2 linked regions of the Pelodiscus sinensis genome follow. The protein of the gene in region 1 purifies or fractionates together with the protein of each later gene. This does not show direct contact. Links are inferred from orthologs where the notes say so. Each region holds a gene or a part of one and is shown on either strand. Other genes may lie near its edges. The genes, in order: RIMS1 and ERC2.

Evidence for each region.
Region 2: the proteins of RIMS1 (region 1) and ERC2 purify together in Homo sapiens (affinity purification with western blotting; 3 studies listed by BioGRID and IntAct, with this or other methods). This does not show direct contact. The link is inferred for Pelodiscus sinensis from reciprocal best matches to the Homo sapiens genes RIMS1 and ERC2.

The regions. Positions count from the first base shown.
Region 1 is NC_134713.1:52,871,839-52,882,698, forward strand, and holds the start of RIMS1 (regulating synaptic membrane exocytosis protein 1), read left to right. Parts: upstream 1-5,266; 5' UTR 5,267-6,381; coding exon 6,382-6,545; intron 6,546-10,860. UniProt on the Homo sapiens protein: Rab effector involved in exocytosis. May act as scaffold protein that regulates neurotransmitter release at the active zone.
Region 2 is NC_134721.1:27,838,404-27,850,054, forward strand, and holds the start of ERC2 (ERC protein 2), read left to right. Parts: upstream 1-7,517; 5' UTR 7,518-7,656; intron 7,657-9,790; 5' UTR 9,791-9,989; intron 9,990-11,037; exon of another isoform or gene 11,038-11,143; intron 11,144-11,651. UniProt on the Homo sapiens protein: Thought to be involved in the organization of the cytomatrix at the nerve terminals active zone (CAZ) which regulates neurotransmitter release. Seems to act together with BSN. May recruit liprin-alpha proteins to the CAZ.

The sequences.
Region 1 (10,860 bases):
GCACAAGATCGTGCCAATGTAGACACAACCTTGGAGTAAGTAAGCAGAATTTATTTATTTTTATTCATCTCTGCTAAGATAATATACAAGTTATCAAACTTGCAGTTCTGATATTTGTGTTAAGACTCCAGAACTGATACCTGGAAGCCTGGGATTGGAAATATCTTGCTGTTTTATTTTCTGGTTGAACTAAACTTAAAATACGGATTTAATTATTGTTTGTGTGTATATATTATATATGTACTTATAGGAATAAATATAATGCATTTTATAGAGAGATATAGATAGATATGAATTAGATACAGTGCTCCTGTCAGCTTATTTCCAAAGTGTTATCTGCAAAAACAAGCAAACAAAAAACCCTATTAGGGTTTTCAGATACCTAAGTAGTCCCTGGAATCACAGTTAAAATTGCCTCCCCCCAGCAAAGTTTGAAATGGACCCCTGACTTCCTCCCTGCTGGATTCACTTCCTCAGCATATGCAGCTGCACATGATCTGCCTCGGGCTGAGGGTGCTTAGGTTTGCAGACTGGCTGGGGTGCAAGAATCACATAAACACATCCCCCTTCCCACTCACCGCCTCCTCTAGCTGTTGTTAGGGACAGAGCAGAATGTGTCCTGTATTGCTTCCTCTACATCACCTGTGCTCAGTTAAACCTTTCTAGCACTGAAGCCCACTACTTCAAGTTGAATGCAGTGTGCGTTCTTGTACTGTGACTCTGAATTTTCTAATCTTCCAAACAGCCTCCTTTGCTATGTTCAAAATGGCTGTTAAAATATAATACAATACATTTGCTGATGTAAAGTAATTAGTTATTAGTGTTTTAACCAGTATTTTTTCTGAAGTTTGTGTTTGTTTATTGTTGTGATTAGTTCATTTATTGGCTTAGGATTTTTCCTATTGATTTTCTATGAATAAATATTGCATCAGTAAGCTACCATAGATTAAGTTTAAAACTTTCTGTATATATTTGTATTCTCCTTTTGAGGATAACAAAGATAAAACATGTTTGAGTGTGTTACAATATTAAAAAGATAAAACTAAAACAATCAAGTAAGTGTGCCCACAAGCTGCATGGTGCAGCTGCCCACGCAGCCTCTAACATTCTCTCTAGCCCACTTCTACTGCCTGACTGAGAAGAGGCTAGAGTTGCCCTTGCACGTCTTGATGGCTCTTTATTTGTTTAGTAGTTATTCATACAGCAGTATAAAGACTAGTTTGACTAGTTTGGTCTATCACGAATGGGCTATAACCACTAATGAAATAAAACAGAAGTTTATATTTGTATATATGTGTTCATTGGATTTACCTTAAAGGACTTTCCCTTCATACTGGTTTTTCAACTATTTGAATGTATCAGCTTGTTTAATACAAAACAAATAACTTGTTATATGCACCTTTGTTAAAGGTTAGTTATATCAATCAATCATATTTCTATTTAAAATAGACAGAATGATCTGAACTGTCTGCAGTACTCTTTAGGGCCAAATTGCTTTGGCAATTACATTTCTTCATACTGCATAATGTCTGTTGGGCTTTAGATACTGTCAATTTTCAAAAACAAAAACAAAACCACAAAATTGTATATAGTTATTTAAGTCTTAATTTCCACCTTTTAGATTTCTAGTATACCTTGTGATACTCTATCAAATATTATAGCTTGTTCTGTTGTATAGAGATTATTAATTTACAGACTTACAACTGGACAAAAAATAAAGTACAAGAGAGCAATTTCACAATTTTGCAGGAGTTTGTGGCTATCTAGCTAATTAGCTGTTGAGGTTACTCAAATGGTTTTTCCTCTGTGTGAAACACAGAAATAGTATCTTCAGTTGGATATTATTTAAAGCTAAGGCCTAAATTGGACCAAGGATTCTGTCATATGAAGGGTTGTATATAACAACATTAGTAATAAGTTCTATATTTTGTGTTGTCACTAATAAAGATATTAGATTTCAGAAAGAAAAAAGAATAAACACACAAAGGAAGGAAGACAAAATAAGTTGAATACATTTATTAATAATAAATACAATCAACTTCTCTGTCTCAATTTCTTTTTATTTACATTTAAATACCAACATTTTATGGCACAAGATGATACATAAGAATTATTGTTACTGATGCACGTATTTGAATGACACACAAAATTCAACCATAATTCTTCTAAGATTGCCAGTCACTGTTTGGTCTACTGTATACACAAACAATTCTGATAAAGGGCTGGGAATTAGGTGACAGGCAATACATCACTTGATGGTTACCTGTTCCGTTCATTCTCTCTGGAACTCCTGATATTGGCCACTTTCAGAAGACAGACTGCTGAGCCAAATTGACCTTTGGTCTGAACCAGTATAGCCATTCTTATCCTACTTAGCTTGCGAACAGGAATAGCTAACGGAGTTTTGTGAGGTGGTGAAGGTGAAGGAGAAATGATTACAGGATGTTTGGGCTATGTCTACACTGTGCATTGTTGCACAAGATGATATGCAAATGAGGCGTGGCGATGAATATCACCATGCCTCATTTGCATATCTAATGAGCCGCCATTTTGCGGAAGTGGCTTTTGCGCAAGAAAGAGCTCTCTACACTGCTTCTTCTTGTGCAAAAAAACCCTATTGTGCAGGAGCCGTTCTTCCTGAAAATAAGTGGCAGAACAGCTCCTGTGCAAGAGGGTTTTTTTGTGCAAAAAGGAGCAGTGTAGACAGCTCCTTCTTGGGGAAAAGCCCCTTCCGCAAAAATGACGGTGCATTGAGTATGCAAATGCGATGAATATCACCATGCCTCATTTGCATATCTTCTTGTGCAACAATGCGCAGTGTAGACATAGCCTGGGGGTAAGTGGCTGTCTGTAGTGTGTGTGTTTGTGGGTTACTTGTTGGTTGTCTGAAAGATAGTGTGTGCTGAGCTTGTGTGTGTTTGTTTGTAGATCCATCTGCTGAGCTGTTTGTTTGAAGGACCACATGCTGAGGTCAGCAGCTGGAAGCTGTGAGCTTCTTAACAAGGATTTGAAATCTAGAACCTCTGTTCATTGGTCAAGCCTTAACTGCGGCGTGGGGCTATCAAGAAGGCCTGGGCTATATAAAGCTCACTAGTAAGCAACCAAGGAGCTAGTGACCAGGAGCAACTAAAATTTGGCTATGTCTACACTGCAGAGTTTTTGCATAAAAACAGCTTCACAGGTGATTAATCAGCCCTGCCCAGTAAGTCAGTTCCCTGCACTGAGTCCTGAGCCTCAGACTGGGAGGGGCTGATTGATTACCAGAGAAGCTGTGCTGCCATGCAGCTGATAGGGAACACTGGTGATCCTGGTAATTACAGACTGGTAAGTCTAATGTCAGTACCAGGCAAATTAGTTGAAACTAGAGTAAAGAATAAAATTGTCAGATACATAGAGGAACATAATTTGTTGGGGAAAAGTCAACATGGTTTCTGGAAAGGGAAATCATGCCTTACTAAGCTACTAGAGTTCCTTGAGGGGGTCAACAAACATGTGGACAAGGAGGATCCGGTGGATATAGTGTACTTAGATTTCCAGAAAGCCTTTGACAAGGTCCCTTACCAACTGCTTCTAATTAAAGTAAATTGCCCTGGGATAAGAGAGAAGATGCTTTTATGGATTGCTCTCTGGTTAAATGACAGGAAACAAAGGGTAGGAATAAATGGTAAGTTTTTAGAACAGAGAGAGGTAACTAGTGATGTTCCCTAAGGGTCTGGACTGGGACCAATCCTATTGAAACCTATTTATAAATAATCTAGAGAATGGGGTAAGCAGTGAGATGGCAAAATTTACAGATGATACTAAACTGCTTAAGATAGTTAAAGACCAAAGCAGACCGTGAAAAGCTCCAAAAAGACCTCACCAAAGTAAGTGATTGGGCAACAAAATGGCAATTGAAATTTCATGTTGATAAATGTAAAGTAATGCACATTGGAAAAAATAATCCCAGCTATCAATACAAAATGATGGGGATTAATTTAGCTATAACTCCTTGAGAGAGAGAGAGATCTTGGAGTCATTGTGGATAGCTCTCTGAAAACATCCACTCAGTGTGCAGCAGCAATCAAAAAAGCAAACAATGTTAGGAATCATTAAAAAAGGATAGAGAATAAGACAGAGAAAGTCTTCCTTACTGCCTCTATTTAAAACTATGGTACGCCCACATCTTGAATACTGTGCACAGATGTGGTCGCCTCATCTCAAAAAAGATATATTGGCATCGGAAAAGGTTCAGAAAAGGGCATAAAAATGATGAGGGGTTTGGAACAGGTCCCATATGAAGAGAGATTTAAAATGACTGGGAGGTTTCATCTTAGAAAAGAGGAGATTTAGGTGGGATAAGATAGAGGCTTATAAAATCATGAGTGATGTTGAAAAAGTGAATAAGGAAAAGTTATTCACTTGTTCCTAAAACATCAGAACTAGGGGTCACCAAATGAAATTAATAGGTAGCAGGTTTAAAATAAATCAAAGGAAATTTTCCTTCACGCTGCGCACAGTCAACCCATAGAACTCCTTGCTAGAGGATGTTGTGAAGACCAGGACATTAAACAGGGTTCAAAAAAGTACTAGATATATTCATGGAGGTTAGGTCCATCAATCGCTATTAGCCAGGTTGGGTAGGAATGGCGTCCTTAGCCTCTGTTTGTCAGGCGGGAAATGGATGACAAGAGTGGGATTATTTACTAATTCTCTGTTCTGTTCACTTCCTCTGTGGGATCTGGCATTGGCCACTGTGAAAGACAGGATACTGGAATAGATGGACCTTTGGTCTGACATAGTATGGCTCTTCTTATTTTCCTTAGGTGGCTGATGATTGCATCTGATGTATTACTCAGAGGTATCAACAGGCCGGCTTCTGAGGAGTTACATCAGCAGGACAGACCTAGTGAATCACTTTTATGTGTAATGAAGTGGGGCAAATTCTGTGCTCCAGTCTAGCAGAGCTCGTCAACATTGTGTTTAGTTTAACTCACCTATGTTGCTGTCTGTTCTGGAGATGACTGGTTCCTGATATACAGGTTACTCTACATGATGCCCAGATGCGTTCCCTGGACATGGTGGAGTTTTTCCTCTGGTATTCCGGAAAACCCCCGTAGTCTAGATATAGTCTCAAGATGGAGAAGCAGTTGCCTTTCATGAATCTTTAGAATTTGCACCACTGTAGGGAGGCCCTTCATCTCAATAAATGATTTGGTTTTTTCCATAAGGAGTTTGAACTATAACATATTTAAGGTTGTTTTTGGAAGGCATGGGTAGGGGAGCCTAGGAAGAATGAGTCTGAAGAGTGCAGCATGCTACACCCTGGTTCAAGAAGGGGAGCCCACTGAGAGCATAAAACCCGCAGCTAGGGCAGAGGAAGAAGAATTAGAGTTCATGAAGTGCCAGGCTGCAATGTAGGAGCCCAAGAAAAATATCAACATGTTCTGGTGAAAGCAGAGAAACCAAGAAATGACTGGCATACTGAACACAGGTCTGGGTCAAAGTAAAGTCCTAGATGGAGTACCTGCAGCCTTACCCTAAGTCATAGGAGTCTGGGCAGCAAGTGTGCAGTGCCAGACTGTGGTCAGGGGACGTGTGTGCAGTACAGACACATACCAACAAAGTGATGTGGAGCTCTGGAATACCATGCTGACCTGCAGTGGGGAGCCAGGTATCAGCCTGTAGCACTGGTGTGCAGTGAGAAAGCTGAGCCAGAGAGGGATGAAGTGCGTGTGGACACTGCTCAAGGCAGGCAAGGGGGCAGGGCACCAGCTGAAGAGTCTGGCAAGGCTCAGCGGCCCTTAACCAAGGCTGATAAAGAGCATAGGAGAAAATATCCTCCCAGTAGCAACTCTGGAAAATGTGTGGCCCCAGGACAAGCCCGGGGACCCAGGACGAGTGGTGGGAGTGGTTCAGGTCCAGGGACTCCACAGCCGGTGCAGCTCAGCTCGAGATAGCGAGAGCATCATCCAGGAGCGGAGTGGCTTGGACTCCGCCTAACTGACACCCAACTTCCCCCTCCCTCCTCAAAGCCAGCAGCAGCAGCATCCGCCCTTCTCCTCCAGCCAGCCCTGTGCGTACCGCCTGCCTGTGCACACAGCCTGCTAGCTGCAATCCCGAGCCCCTCTCCCACCCAGGGAGGATGGGCTGCAAGAGGCAGCAGGAGGGCAGCCCCAACCCTGCCTAGAGCTGGGCAAACAAAGGGAGCAGCAGCAGCCGGGCTGGGGTGGATGCAAGCAACCATGAAAGGCTGGATCTCCGCCTCCGCCGCCGCTGCTGCCGCCGGAGAGCTGCTGGCTGCTGCCGCCGAGGAGCAGAGGGCTCCGCTGTGAAGGGAGGAGGCGGGATTGGTTTTGCCTCGCCAAGGTAGAAGGGGCAGGGGCCAAGGCGGCAATAAACATGTCTTCTTCGGCGGGGCCCCGCGGCCCTCGCCCCCCCACGGTGCCTCCCCCGATGCAGGAGCTGCCCGACCTGAGCCACCTGACCGAGGAGGAGCGGAACATCATTCTGGCCGTGATGGACCGGCAGAAAGAGGAGGAAGAGAAGGAAGAGGCCATGCTCAAGTAAGCGGCCGCCCGGCGGTCACTCAGGCGGGGCGGGGGCGCGCGGCCAAGTGGCTGGGCTGCCCCGACTCCGGCCCCTGCCCCGGGTCGTGCCCTGCACAGCCCCCACCTCGCGGCCCTGAACTTCCTCCTCTTCCGCCCCACCCATGGGGACCGCCTCCCGGCCCTGCGGGAGCCTCCTACCTGGGGAGACCCACGGGCAGCGGGGGAAGCGCCGAGAGGGGGGCCTCGCCCCACAGCCCCGCCGGGAGAAGCAAAGGGCCCCCCGGGCTGCTCCCCTGCGGGGCGCGCTGGAAGAGGGGAGACCTTGCCTTATGGGGGAAACCCCCACATTTGGGGAAGGGATTCCTCTGGGGGCTTTAAAACCCCGCCCGTTACGGGAGGGTAATGGGTGGGGTTTCCCTAGGACTGAGCCTTCAAAAAACACCATGCTGCCCCCACCTGGCTCCGTGTGAACGGAATCCTGCCATTGGGGAGCGCAGCAGCAACCTGCCTCTCCCTCCGCTACTTGCACCCCCTGCGGGGAGGGTTTCTCCAGCGGGGCTAATCTTCCTCTTGGGACCCCTTCTTCTGCCTGGCTGCTGCTGTACACTGGGCAAGGATGGGGTTGGGAAGCATCTGGTTGTCTTGATGTGGGAAAGCACTGTGTGTTCATAATTAGGTACCCAGCTCCTTAAGGAGGGCGAGGTTTATACCTGTGTTGGTGGGCTAGAGAGGGAATTGTGGATTTATTACACTGTTGATTACACAGAGAAAGATGTAGGAGGCTCAGAGTGTCGATGGATGCCATATTTGGAAACTAGTCTCTCCTGCCTCTGTTGCACCTTTTATCTCCCCCACCCTTCTTCCTTGCAAAACAACACCTATGTGACCTCATTTTCTATCCTCCTCCATTAGCAGCAGGCTTCAAATGTAATGTTACTAAATTGCCTCCTGTGAGTGATGAGACTAAACAGATTGAGTCTGTGGCCTGAGGAAGACAGCCACCCTCCAGGCCTATTCACTTTTGGATGGAAATGGCAGAATAGGTAACTGATTACAGACAAAGCTCTTCATGTGATCCAGAACCTTTCTATCCTGTAAGGTGTGTCCTCGCCTTGCTGTTTCCCATTCCCTGCTGTGTGTTTGGAGGATAGGGCTGGTGGCTTGCACAAAAGGTGTGACATGTTGTGTGCAGGGTTTTTCTTTTGACTGTATCAGAAATAATCAGTTTTAAGGCGTGTGTTCCAGTTTTTATGCTTTCCCTTGTAAGCCAACAATGTAATCTATAATGGATAGAAATATTGAATCTTTGTAGTCTCTTAACCTCTGTGCCATATATTGCAAACAATTTGAAGCTGATGGCAATGCTTGATTGTGCTGTTGTTTCTGTCCTTTAAAATCAGGGCTGGGATTTGCATTTTTGCAGTGGCTGCTGCTGCTGGTATTAACTGCAGAAATGTACACTGAGGCACATGAGCTAGTGATGCTTATCGCCTGGGACCTGGACTAAGAATGGGGGTGTGGCACCGAGAGCTGAAATGGGGATGAAGAGTTCAGTTCACTGCTGCTATGGTTGTGTGTGGCGGGGTGTGGTCGAGACTTTATTGGGGTTGGAATAAGAGCAGATTTGTGAAACTGCACTCTATTAGCCAACGTAGGGATAAGCATTTAGGGTCACTTTCGGTGTCTATCCTTCATAAGAGAATTGAAAAGAAAATGCTTGCAAAATGCTATAAACTACGTTACTACTCCTCTCCAGTCTCTGTCCTCTACTTCTCTGCCCACCACTACTTCCATATAAATGTTTAGGTGTTATTCTGTGGAATATAGCATTTTTAGTCCCATGTCCATTGCTAGAGCAAACTTTTTGTTAGGACATTTTTTTTCCAGTGCTATAATTGCTAAAGGCAAGGTAAGGGATTTCTTCACTGCTTTCATATTAGCATCTGGGAAGTCTGGAACAATGTTTAAAATGTTTCCCACAAGGGTGCTGAAAATCTTCAAAGCTTTTGCTAAAAGACTTGGGGCAAACTTAATTTTTTTGTGCAGGTCAGAAATTGCCCTTTGTGGATTCTGCTTAAAAATTGGGTCTCTCTATATTGCTTTAGACATATACTGAAAGGGTTTTTTACGCCAAAAAGAATTTCTTGTTATTTGGTCCGGTAACATTTTTTTTCAAAGATGTCTGAATAATAGGTAAGACTTTGCATCAGGCTGAGAAAAATGTGATTTTTAGATAGCTGGAAATTCAGCCTAGTCATAGTATGAGGGTGAAAGCTTATAAACTTTGCTAAATAGTTTATGGGAATTAGGTCAGAGTCAGTAGTTTTTATCTAGTTATGATTTTGTATGTTGTACAGAACCATTATATCTTCTAGAATCATTGTAATTTTCTCTTATCTAGCCAACACTACACTTTTTTTTCTGGGACACGAATTATACATCTTATTCCTTATAGATAGGAATAGGATACCATTCTGAACAAGAATTTCCTGCCCTAATTCTGAAGAGAGGTGTATGCGTTTTACACACATGATGGTGTACACACATCTCGGTAATAAATCACATAGCCATATTATTTATTGTGAGTCCTAGACCATGTTACCTGCCCACTATCTATTAATCTGTCTCCAGCAGGAATAGTTCTAACATTCCAAATGTCTGAGCAGCTTCAAACAGCTATTGGTTTTCTTTTTAAAATAATCTGATAAGGAAATGTTTCCTTCCGCAGCACCCACATCCCAAATATGGAACATCCTCTCAAAGTAATGCTGGCCTGAGATGCCAAATGGACAATATTCATTCCTGGACCAGTGACAGGTTTTCTGCCCAATATCTCAGTATGGAAGATGGATGCACAAAGGAACAGAATTAAGGTTGCTCAGGCAAACATAAATCTGGCCACTTCCTAATTTTTGAGTGTTTGATTCTGCAAAGTAAATAATATTTTAAATATAGTTTTATTGTATGCAGTACACGTGCAAGCTTTATGAGAAATGGGACTCTGAGATGAACACACTAAAACTGTGTAAAGTCTAAAATGCAAGATTGGATTGCACTGCTGGATCCAATCTGAAATTTTGAAAGCTATGTCTTTGAACCCACTTTTACCCATGCTTTTGACACCGGGTAAAATAACTTCCACTCTAATTATATTATGCAGAAAATCTGACTAGATGATCACAACAATCCTTTCTGGCCTTAAAATCTATCAGTCTGTAAGGTAATGGGTATCATTGGTGGCTAGTAGGAGGGATAGTGTAAAGGAGGAGGGGGAAGTGTAGAGTTCTTATATAGGAACTCCCCAGAGCAAAAGGGTGTTATAAATCTAGATTTTGATGAAAATTCTGCAGAAGAGACCACCTTTTTAATATGCTTTCCTTCTAATATTTCATTGGTTAGGAATCTGGAAAAAGCCAATCTTCCAAGAATTTAAAAAATATTTGTTTCCCTTTCAAATTTTATTCCAAGTTTTATTTTGTAGGCTGTACCTAAGCTTTCTTTTTTGCTTCCTTTAACTCTGGAATAAAACTATCAAAAGTATTGTATTGCTGCCTCCATCAGATGATTAGTGAGTTAACATATTGCTGAGCATTTTAGCACTTTCATTTAATACTTATGTAAAGAAGTTGTTAAATATTTGAATAGTACTGGCCTTATATTGTGAAAACTATAGACCAAAATATCTGCTAGTGGAAGTGGGCACAGATCAGTTGACAACAATGCAATTTTGCTTATTTGCACCATGAATATTTTGGTCCAATATTTGTTTTCCCCTGTAACCACTTTTATGTGCAAATATATATAACTATTCACTGGCTCACATCTAAAACTACTGTAAGGGCCAAATTCTGAACTCTTCTAAAGTGGTCAGATCCATAGTAACTTCACAGAAGCAAAATAAGTGCTCTGGATTTTCATTGATGTAAAAATAGGCTCAACATTCTTCAGTACATTGGTCTATTTGTATTCTAAAGTAGTATAATTTGGTGGACTGGGAAAATAGGAAAATTTTCTAAGGCACTCAGCTGGCATTTTACCTTTGAGTTTAATGGGAGCAGAGTTAGGCCAATACTTGAATGCTTCTGAAAATCCAACCTATAATATTTTTTTGGAAAAATGACCTTATAATACTTGTATCTGCAGGGCAACTTTAGTCTGCAATGGCTGTACTGGGGAAAACATTTCATAAGGTCCCATCCGATTAGATACAAAGATCAAAAAGACTTGATTCTGCTCTTTTTGGATATACTTGTGCATAAAACCTCAAATTACTGACAGACATTTTCACATGATCACAACTAGGGAATTTATACTAGATTCTTCAGTGAGA
Region 2 (11,651 bases), on another chromosome or scaffold:
AGGCACCCGGACTGAAGCCGCAGCCGCGGGGGGGTCCCGCGCCTCTGAGGCTTTGCCAGAGCAAAGCCTCAGAGGCGCGGGGAACCGCCGCCGCTGCTGCCGCTTTGACTGAAGCGGCAGCAGCGGCGGTTCCCCACGCCTCTGAGGCTTTGCTCTGGCAAAGCCTCAGAGGCACGGGACCCCCCCCCCGCGGCTGCGGCTTCAGTCCGGGTGCCTGTGGTCTGCTGGGGACCGTCCCCAGCAGACCACAGGCACCCAGACTGGAGCGGCAGCAGCGGCGGTTCCCCGCGCCTCTGAGGCTTTGCTCTGGCAAAGCCTCAGAGGCGCGGGACCCCCCCGCGGCTGCGGCTTCAGTCAGGGTGCCTGTGGTCTGCTGGGGACCCAGCAGACCACAGGCACCCAGACTGGAGCCGCAGCCGTGGCGGGGTCCCGCGCCTCTGAGGCTTTGCCAGAACAAAGCCTCAGAGGCGCGGCACCCCGCTGCCGCTGCGGCTCTGCTCCCCGTGTCCCTGGTCTGCTGGGGGGGGGCGCAGCTAGTGTGCTCCCCCCCCCAGCAGACCAGGCTTTTGTTTTGGACTCTGGGGCAGAGCAGCTGGGGCGCTGCCGATTGGTCCTGCTCTGCCCCAGGCGTCCCCAAGTCAGCTTCTGCTGAAACTGACCAGCGCTGACTACAGGAAGCCCCAGGCAGAGTTGCTCTGCCCCGGGCTTCCTGGAATCAGCTGCTGATCAGTTTCAGCAGCAGCTGACTTGGGGACGCCTGGGGTTCTTAAGTTGATTCTGTAAGTAAGTCAGAACTGGCCGTCAGTTTCAGCAGTGTCTGAATCTGGACGCCAGTTCCGACTTACATACAGATTCAACTTAAGAACAAACCTACAGTCCCTATCTTGTACGTAACCCGGGGACTGCCTGTAGCTATTTCGAATATGGCGTTATTCCTCATGGTTTACGTCAAAATAAGAGCTCCACTATTTCAAATTAATTTTGAAATAGCGGGTTGGCTGTGTAGATGCTAGTAAAGTTATTTTGAAATAACAGCTGCTATTTCGAAATAACTTTGCTGTGTAGACATACCCTACGTTACAGGGCAGCAGACAGCCAAGAGGTGCTTCAGTGATTCTGAGGAAACACTTACTGATGGTGGACATCCTGTCCTAGAGCTCAGCACTTGGGACAGATCAGGATCCTGGCAGTGGGGGAAGCCAGATTTAAGGGCAATTTATGGTGGAGATAATATCTATATTAAATAGCAGCTCTACCCTGCTCACCAGTCACACTCTCTGAGGAACTCAGTTACGCAGCTTTTAGTCTACTGCATGTATGCCATGTGAATTTTTCCATTTTTTTGAAATTTTTAATAAAAAGGCCTCTCAGAAATCTAAGTGTATTACATCAAGACTATTTCCTTTCTCAAACTTGCAATCTCACCAAAAAAGGTATCAATGTAGTCTGACAGGATCTATTTTCCATAAGCCCATGTTGATTGGCATTCATTACATTCCCCTCCTTTAATTCTTTATTAATTTTGAGCAGTAAAAGCCACTCCATTCTCTTGCTGGGACTGATGCTTGAATTACAGGCCTATAGTTACCCAGGTCATACTATGTACCCTTCTTAAACTCTGGCACACTAATAGCTTTGGTCCAGTCTTCTGGAACAGTAGCATTTCAGGACATTGAAATGAACACTCAGGGTATATCTAGACTACATGCCTCTGCCGACCAAGGCATGTAAATTATACATACCGACATAGTCAATGAAGCGGGGATTTAAATATCCCCCGCTTCATTAGAATAAAAATGGCCGCCGTGTTGTGCCAGCTCAGCTGTTTGTCGGCACGAAAAAGCAGTCAAGATGGGGATCGGTTGGCAAGGAAAGCCTTTGCTGACTGATCCTTTATGCCTTGGACTCCATCCACATTGCCTGAGATCCAATGCATGAGTTCTCCAGTGAGCTCTGTGGCCCTCTGGCACAGGGGATTTATGTGGTGTTCTGGACTTCAAGAGTGGTATTATGCTGCAGTGGCACTTTCTTGGTGCCACTCACCATATGCACAGAGATATAAGAACAACACTGTACCCATCTGCCTGGCATCACTAGCGAGCAGTGTCCACTGATCCTGAACAACCCCCTTTGCACGTGTAGACATACTGCAGAGCAGGATTACCCAGGACATGCCATAAGACCCACTGTTTCTCCCCCATGGGGTGACAATGGAACTAATCCACTAACACAGCTTGCCTTCAGGAGAGTCCCTGACGGTTTCAGCCCTATGAACAGCTTACTTGCTGAGAGAAGAGAACAACAGAGCATCACAGTAGTCATAGGGAACACAAGCACCAGGAAAACAACCCCATAATTGCCTCACCTCATATAATGATCATGGCTTCTCCCAAACACACTTTCCCTGCAGCTCTGCCCCAGCTAGGCCCAGCAGATTTCAGACAAACTGAGGGCTGAGCACTGTGCAGGGCATGCACAGAGTGCCAGGTGCACAAGACCAAGTGTTGTACACAAGAGGGTCTTCAATAGAAAGCTGCTGCACAGTCAGCAGGTCTCTCCTGCCTAGTATGGAGCTAACTGCTCATTAGCATCAGGAGGTACATGCTTAAACACTGGTCATGTCAGACACAAAAATTCACCCTTGGCATTCTGCTCTTTTATTATCCCACCCTCTTTTGAGTAAGGTGAAGGGCCTGGCAGGAGGGCTGCACCTAGCATTTACCCACGTTCACATATACAGCCTGAGCTTGTGATGAGAAATGATCAGGCTCAAAAGGCACACAGTCCAGTCCTATAAGAACACATTTCATAATACATGGCTCTTACACAGCGCTGGTCATCAGCAGACCTCAAAGGGTTGTAAAAAGGAGGGCAGGGTCATTCTTCTCATTTTACTGGTAGGCCAAATGAGGCCCAGGGAGGGGAAATGACTTGACCAAACCACTCAGCAAGCCAGTTCAGGAAGATTGCTCACATTTCCTGAGGGCCTGTCCTGAGCCCCATCCACTAACCATTTCCAGCACTGAAGATGTTTCCACAAAATCTTTAAAAGTATAAATTCCATGAGACTGCTTCAAACTTCTGAACCTCACCGGCAGCACTCAACAGTGCTGCATTTGGCTACCGTATTTTCCGGCGTATAGGGCGACTGGGTGTATAAGACGACCCCCTATCTTTTTAATTAAAAGATAGGGTTTCATCTTATACCCCAGCGCCCCTCCGCCTCCTTTGCTCCCGGTGTCCCTGGTCTGCTGGAGATGGTCCCCAGCAGACCAGAGGCACCGGGAGCAAAGCCACCAGGAGCGCCTGGGCTCCCCCCCCCCCGCCGGAGCCCCTCCGCGGCTTTGAAAGCCTCGGGGGAAGCCGGCGGGGGGGGGGCATCCCAGGCGCGCATGGGCTGCCCCCCCGCCGGAGCCCCTCCGCGGCTTTGAAAGCCTCGGGGGAAGCCGGCGGGGGGGTGCATCCCAGGCGCGCATGGGCTGCGCCCCCGCCGGAGCCCCTCCGCGGCTTTGAAAGCCTCGGGGGAAGCCGGCGGGGGGGCATCCCAGGCGCGCATGGGCTGCCCCCCCGCCGGAGCCCCTCCGCGGCTTTGAAAGCCTCGGGGGAAGCCGGCGGGGGGGCATCCCAGGCGCGCATGGGCTGCCCCCCCGCCGGAGCCCCTCCGCGGCTTCGAAAGCCTCGGGGGAAGCCGGCGGGGGAGCATCCCAGGCGCGCATGGGCTGCCCCCCCACCGGAGCCCCTCCGCGGCTTCGAAAGCCTCGGGGGAAGCCGGCGGGGGGGCATCCCAGGCGCGCATGGGCTGCCCCCCCGCCGGAGCCCCTCCGCAGCTTTGAAAGCCTCGGGGGAAGCCGGCGGGGGGGCAGCCCATGTGCTCCTGGGATGCCCCCCCCGCCGGCTTCCCCCGAGGCTTTCAAAGCTGCGGAGGGGCTCCGGCGGGGGCGCAGCCCATGAGCGCCTGGGATGCCCCGCTGTCGGCTTCCCCCGTGGCTTTCGAAGCCGCGGAGGGGCTCCGGCGGGGGGGCAGCCCATGCGCGCCTGGGATGCCCCCCCGCCGGCTTCCCCCGAGGCTTTCAAAGCCGCGGAGGGGCTCCGGCGGGGGGGCAGCCCATGCGCGCCTGGGATGCCCCGCCGCCGGCTTCCCCCGAGGCTTTCAAAGCCGCGGAGGGGCTCCGGCGGCGGGGCATCCGGCGTACAAGACGACCCCCGATTTTTGGGGGATGTTTTTTAACATCAGAGGTCGTCTTGTACGCCGGAATATACGGTAGTTCATGAACATCAAACCATGAAACTGACTAATCCACTCTTATCATCCAGGATGGGATAAATGCAAAGAACAAACAAACAACACCAACGGGAAACAGAGTTTTTAAACATCACGGCTATGTCTACATTGGCCCCTTTTCCGGAAGGGGCATGTTAATTTCACAGGTCGTAATAGAGAAATCCGCGGGGGATTTAAATATCCCCCGCGGCATTTAAATAAAAATGTCCGCCGCTTTTTTCCGGCTTTTAGAAGAGCCGGAAAAAAGCGTCTACACTGGCCCCGATCCTCCAGAAAAAAAGCCCTTTTTCCAGAGGATCTTATTCCTACTTTGACTAAGATAAGATCCTCCGGAAAAGGCTTTTTTTCCGGAGGATCGGGGCCAGTGTAGACGCTCTTTTCCGGCTTTTCTAAAAGTCGGAAAAAAGCGACGGACATTTTTATTTAAATGCCGTGGGGGATATTTAAATCCCCCGCGCATTTCCCTATTGTGATTTCAAAAATTACCATGCCCCTTCCGGAAAAGGGGCCAATGTAGACGTAGCCTACCAGATTTGAAAACTATCTGGTGTGTTAGCAAGGCAGTGAACACATTATAAATGTTTAGGGACAGATTTAGCAACATGCTCTGTCAGCACAAAGTAGCAATTCGAACTAGCGGGGTAGTGTAGACATACCCTGGGACTGGGATTTGTATTCTTCAACATATTCACTAACAGTCTAAAAGAGCACGTGCGGTGCACAGGGAAGCATAACAGTTTGGAGATACTCAAGAATGTTAAATCCAAAGCAGACTGAGAACAACAAAGGGATCTCCCAAACCTGGGTGGCAAGGCAACAAAAATGGCAGATGAAATTCAATATTGAAAAGTGAAAAGTAATGCTAATTGGAAATGATAATCCCAACTATGCAAATTCTCTTCTTAAACCCTTGTACTCCGAGTGGAGCATAGGTCATCTACAAGTCTCCTCCACTTCACTCTGTTTTGAGACAAAACTTCTAGCAGACTCCAGGAGTACCTTAGCTGTTGTCCTTCAATCTCAGTAGATCTTATCCACGTTGTCCAAGGTCTTCCCCTTTTGCGTTTTCCTTGCGGATTCCATGTGAGCGCTTGATGGTCTATGTTGGATGATGGTTTTCTGGGAGTGTGGCCCAGCCATTCCCCACTTTCTTCTCTTGATTTGAATGCCAACTGGTTTTTGTCCTGCTCTGTTCCAAAGCTCCTCATTTGTGACAGTCTTGCCATTTGATGCGAAGGATGTACCTCAGGCATCTGTTTATGAATGTCTGTAGCTTGTGATTTGAAGACTTTTTAGTATGCCAGGTCTCGCCTCCATACAAGAGTGCACTCTTCACATCTGTGTTGAAGATCTGCAGTTTCGTCTTCGCAGATATTATTTGTGAGCTCCATATGGGACAAAGAGTCTTAATTGCAGCTGCTGCTTTCCCTGTCTTAGCACTGATATCCTGGTATGTTCTTCTGGCTCTGCCCATAATACTCCCCAAGTAAGTGAACTGTTCCACATCTTCCAGGTCATTCCCTCCCAGTGTGATGACGTTGTTGTTGGATTGGTTGATCCTCATTGTCTTGGTCTTTCTCTTGTTAATGCTCAGTCCAATCATTAAGGCAGTTTTATCTAGTGTTGTGACCTTTTCTTCCATGCTTTCATGTTGGCATGAAAGGAGGGCAACAGCGTCAACAAAATCCATGTCCTCTAACTGTTTGAAAGGTGTCCACTGAATGCCCTGTTGATAGCCAGATACAATAATGGATTTTACATTAACTGTTACCATGCCAGAAAGAGATCTTGGACTCACCATGGGTAATTCTCTGAAAGTTTCTACTTTTTGTGCAGTGGCAATCACAAACGCTATCGGTATGTTAAGGATTATTAGGAAAGGGATAAAACAGAAAATCCCATTATGCCACTACATAAATCCATAGAACACCTGCACCCAGAATACTCTGTCCAGTTGTGGAACAGGAAATTATTCAGAGAAGGGCATATACTTGATAATACTGGTCTAAAGAGGCTCTCCAGAACTTATTGTTTAAATAATTGTTATTAATAAACTGGAAGAAAATACAAAATCATTGCTGGTGACATATGTGAGTGACAAAATATGAGCAAAGTGATAAGGCTGACGCCAGGACAGTTATATAGAGTGATCTGTATCCTTTGGGAAGCTGGACCCATGTGAACAAAACAGGTTTTCACAGAGCCAAATGTAAGGTCCTATCTTAGCCCCAAAGCACGCAGGCTACATCCTTGGACTGGGGAACTGTACCCAGGCAAGCAACAACTCTGAGGATTTAGGGTTCATGCCGGACAAGTTGCTCAACAGGAGCTCCCAGGACGATACTGTGGTGAATAAGGCAAAAGCCATCAATAGACATATGAGCAGAGGAGTGATTAGGGAAGTGACATAGCATTAGTGAGACTGAGTTTGGATACTGCAACCTGTTTTAGGGCTTACATTTTAAAAAGATGTTAAAAAATTGGAGATGGGTCAGCAAAGAACTCGATGTTTTGACGGCTAAAGAAAAATGCCTTCTTGGAGGCTATTGAAAGGAGCCCAATCTTTTTAGCTTCTACAAAAGAAGGCTGAGAGAGAACTTAATTGAAGTGTCTAAATGCGTTCCTGAAGAGAAAATGTCAAGTATTAAAGGGCTGTTTAATGTTGCAGAAAAAGGAAGACAAGACCACTGGCTGGAAGGTGAAAACAGACAAATTCATATTAGAAAAAAGGAACAAATATTTCACAGTGAGGATGATTCACCATTGGAACAAACTACCACAGCAAGTGACAGACTCCACATTTTTTGATGTCTTCTAATGAAGACTAGATGACTTTCTGGTGTGTGCTTGAATCAAAACTTAGCTATGATAATATACAGGAGGGCTGGGATATGCAGGGGTCAGATTCAATGCTCTAATGGTCCTTTCTGACCTTAAAGTCTACTAATTAATGTAAAAACTGAGTGCAGCATAGAAAGGGATCTCCAGACTCAGTTGTCATTAAGTGGATGACCCAGAGGAAGTCACTCAAGCATTCAAAGAGGCGAACTAGGGTCAGGACACTAGCCTCGTAAGGGAGGGGAGAATGTAGCAGTGACATCACAAAGGCCTGTTGCAGGACCTCAGACTATTGGGGGATGGTGGTGGGAAGATGGTGACCTCATAAAGAGACTCTGATATCAGCCAGTCAGGATTGAAGTACAAGGCAGAGGCAGCCTCAGAGATTCTCATGGCTTGGCAGCAGCAAGGCTCCCTAGCAAGGTCTCTCCTTGGGGACTAAGAGAGAATTAGGATTAATGTACATGAGCATGAGGACCAACCTGATTGGAATTTTCTCCTTCCCGACTACTGATTTTGTAGTCCCTGTTTAGGAGGTAAGAACCTCAGGCCTGGTTTCCACTGGGGAGTTATTTTGAAATAACAAGTGGAGTGTCCACAATACCAACCCCATTATTTCAAAATAAGGGGCTGGTTATTTTGAAATAATAACTCCTACTTGTCATGAGGAATGATGCTTATTTTGAAATTGTTATTTCAAAATAGTGTTAGTGTGGACATTCAATGTGGATACACTATTTTGAAATAATTCTGTACTATTTCGATGGTGCCTTATAGTGTGGATGAGTTATTTTGGGAGTTACTATTTTGAACTAACTTGTTTCAAAATAGTTTCCTAGTACAGACATGCCCTCAGAGAGATTTGGAATCTGTTTAGTCTGATCCACCAAATACTAGCTGAATTTTAGGTATAGAAATTATTAGGGCAAGGTGATTTGATTTCCTATTAAGGAATGTGTTCCATAGAATCACTAGGGACACTGGGTGCTTGTCCTTTTCAGCTTCCCTTTCCTCCTTCCCTCCCTCTTTCTCTTCTTCTTTTGCTTCTTTTCTCCTTTTTCTATTCCTCCATGCCTTCACCCAGGAGTATTTGTGTGTGTACAAAAATCTGAAATTGTGAACTTGACCAATTTGGAAAATCTCTGGCTGTGAATTTGGCGAGAAGGCACTGTGAATTTGATATAGCCCTATCTATGGCCTATTCAGTGGCAATTGTGGGAAATAGTTTGCCACAAATTTGTGGCCATGTTGGACTTTGGCTGCACTTGGGGATTCCCCAATGACACTTTCTCAAACTAGGTCTCCCAACCCTAAAGGGCTGTCATGAATGGGAGCTTCAAAGGAGAGCCTAACTTATCTGGAGAGCGAGGAAAGGGTTAAGCTAACCTTAAGCTATTCTGCACCTGAGGGAGGGGGCTTTGGGCATTGAGTCAATGAAATGCAGCTAAAGAATTTCAAATTGGGAGAAGCAGTTTCCTTTGTTAGAGAGAGAGAGGGGAATCTTCTCCAGGCATGGAGGGAAGACATAAACTTCCCCAAAAACAGATCTGCTGGATTCATCAGAATGTGAGATTAGGAAAAAGTTTAGGTAGTCTGTCAGGTTTATTGTTTGGGGCTTGGAAATTATAGTAATTCCTCATTTAACATGTGCCCGCTTAACATGAGGGTACTATGCTCTTGCCCAGGGGGCTGCTGTGGAGCCTGCAGGGTTGGGGCGCAAAAAGTCTGGAAATAGCTTCCTACCCACCACTGCAGAGCTTAGTTGAGGGGCAGAGAAACTTCCCCATCCCAGATTTGTGTGGGGCTTTGGCACATGCAGGGTTGGCTTCTCCTGGATCTGATTCTCCACACAGTGCCAGAAGCTGGGGGGAATATGGAGGAGCAGCGGGGCTGGAGGATGAATGGCCACAGCAGGGAGAGGACAGTGACAGGGGAAGCATGTAAAGGGCAGTATGTGGTGTGCAGCAGAAATGACACATAACTGGCCATTGCCAGCTTACACTCACCAACCACTGCAGCAAGCAACCAGTGCTAGCTGGAAACAGGACTGGGGGTAAAGGAGGACTGCTGGTCAAGAGGAGACACCATAGCAGGGACTGCACTGATGGACCAGCAGAGGGACTGGCTGGTCCCACATGCTGCAGCTGTACCCAGCCTCCTGCCTTGCAATCCCAGCCCCATCAACAGCAACTGGATCCATCCCTCCATCCACTCACCACTGTGGATGGGCAGCTGATGAGCAATGATCTAGCCAGCATCAGAATGGACCCACCAGTACTGATGGTATGGAGAGACAGGAAAAACGAGACAACTGGCCCATTTTTTTTAAAGTCAGGACACCTGGAAGAAAACTGTCCCTTTAAAAATGGTCACCTTACATATTCTAGTATTATCCTGAGCCCCAGGTGAAAAAAGGGGGTTTCCATCCCATAGTGTATTTTTAACTAAAAGACATATATGCAGCAAGGAGGCTCATCCTTTTTACATTCTGTCCTGTTTGTTTGGATTCCAGCACTGTCTTGAATAGTATCATCTCTGAATGAATATTCATAACAGAATTTTTTTCTTTTGGCTTTGGATAAGGAAAATGCCATTCTACTGAAGGGATTAAATCAGTCTGCGATATGACTGGCTGAAATCAATTTCATTGGGTGTAATATTTTATTACAGAAATGCCACAAAATCTGTCCCAAGCAAGACTCTTCAACAGTGTCTGTATACCTATATGTGTGACCCAGGAAGAAAATAAAATACAGATTTGAAGTGCTCTGTGAAGACCTCCTACAGCAACATGGTTAAGAAGATGCAGACAGTGATTTATCTGTGAAATTCCTGGAGTGAAGGAGAAGTCTTGAAGCTGTAGCCTGAGGTAAATCTGTCATAATATGATCCAAATGGTAATGCAGACCACAAAAATATTATAGTGAGCAAATGGGAAAAGTAGAAAGGAAAAAGTACATTCCCCAACATGGAAAGTGAATGATTAGAGCTAGGAAACAAATTATTTTTAAGTGATATTTTCCTGATTCAACACTCTACTAAATAAATTACTAAATAAAATAAGAAAAACTTAAAAAAGATAAGAAATGGGTTTTGCCCATGAAAGCTCATGATACCATTTACATGTTTTGTTAGTCTTTAAAGTGCTACCAGACTATTTGTTTTTTAAGTTTTTCCTGTTACAGACTAACTCGGCTTAAGCTTTTAAATAAAATAGGTAATTTCTTAATGCACTTTGCAACATAATACATTTTTTGTGAAATAAATTGGATTCTATATACTTGATCTTTTAATTTGGGAGTTACAATAACTAATTTCCTATTCTCCCCTCCTTCCAGTGTTAATTATTTTTCCCATAAAAACTAATTTGGATGTCTCAAATTCATTTTTACTTTAGGCCAAAATATAGACAGAGACACATACACATGTGTATGTATTTTACTAATCAGATGCGGGTCCATTACTAATGCAGATATCTAATATAGCCTTGCTACATAGTTTGAAAATGTTGGCCTTTAATGAGCAGAGGCAAGAGAACAGTTTAATCACAACCGGTTCTGCATGCAAACTATTTAATTTTGGGCTGTCCCATCAGTTCTGCTTCCTTTCCTACTCACACATATTAAATAGGGAAAGTGAAAGCACTGGGTCTGCAAATAAGTGGACAGAGAGAAATACTTGGGTTGAAATCCATGGGTTTGCAGTGCCTGTAGTTCTGCTGCCAGAGCTTCCTGCTCTGTTAATGGGGAGTTTACTGCTGCCCCTTGTGGCAGGTTGCTCAGCTCTACTGAAAACCAAGCTCCTCGGGAATGCTGGGAATGTTGAGTCAGGGACTGGCAAACCAGAGAGCCAGGCTCGCAGCTTACTGAGGGAGACTCGCTGAGGGACAGAAAGACGAGGGATGGAAATACACAAACCTCTTCTGACTGCAGCAGACTCCCTCTCTCCTTCGCCTCTTAAATGTTCGCCTGCTTCAGCTCTTCACGCTGCCTCTTTCCTCTGTGTAATCAGCTATCAGCTAGACTTGATGTTGTAAAATCCATGTGAGGAGGAAAGACAGATGCAATGATTTGAAAGGTGAGAAGCTTAAGCAAGAATATGGCTATAATAGATTTTTGTGTATTAATTTAAATTAACAAAATTGTTATATATTGTTGTCTAAAATTATGTAGTGGTTGAAAATTAAGAAAGAAATGGCAAAAAAGGCTTTTTTTACCCCTTTAATACATTGCCATAAATGTGACCAAGTGCAATCTTATTCTAGTAGCAATATGTGCCTCTCCCTACAGAACCATCATCTACATACCTTTCTTGCAATTTCACCTAAAATCAGCCATATAATTGTCATTTTTGTAAACAGTTTACAAATATTATTATTTTATTAAAGCCTAGCATGGAATTGATGTGAATTGAAATTTCTTCGCTTTGTAGCCCATATAATTTGTAAAGCTTGATGGGTTTTTTAAAAAAAAGACAAACTGTCAGGAAAAAAACGGATTTATTTTTTTCTTTTTGTGACTGGGAAAAGGAA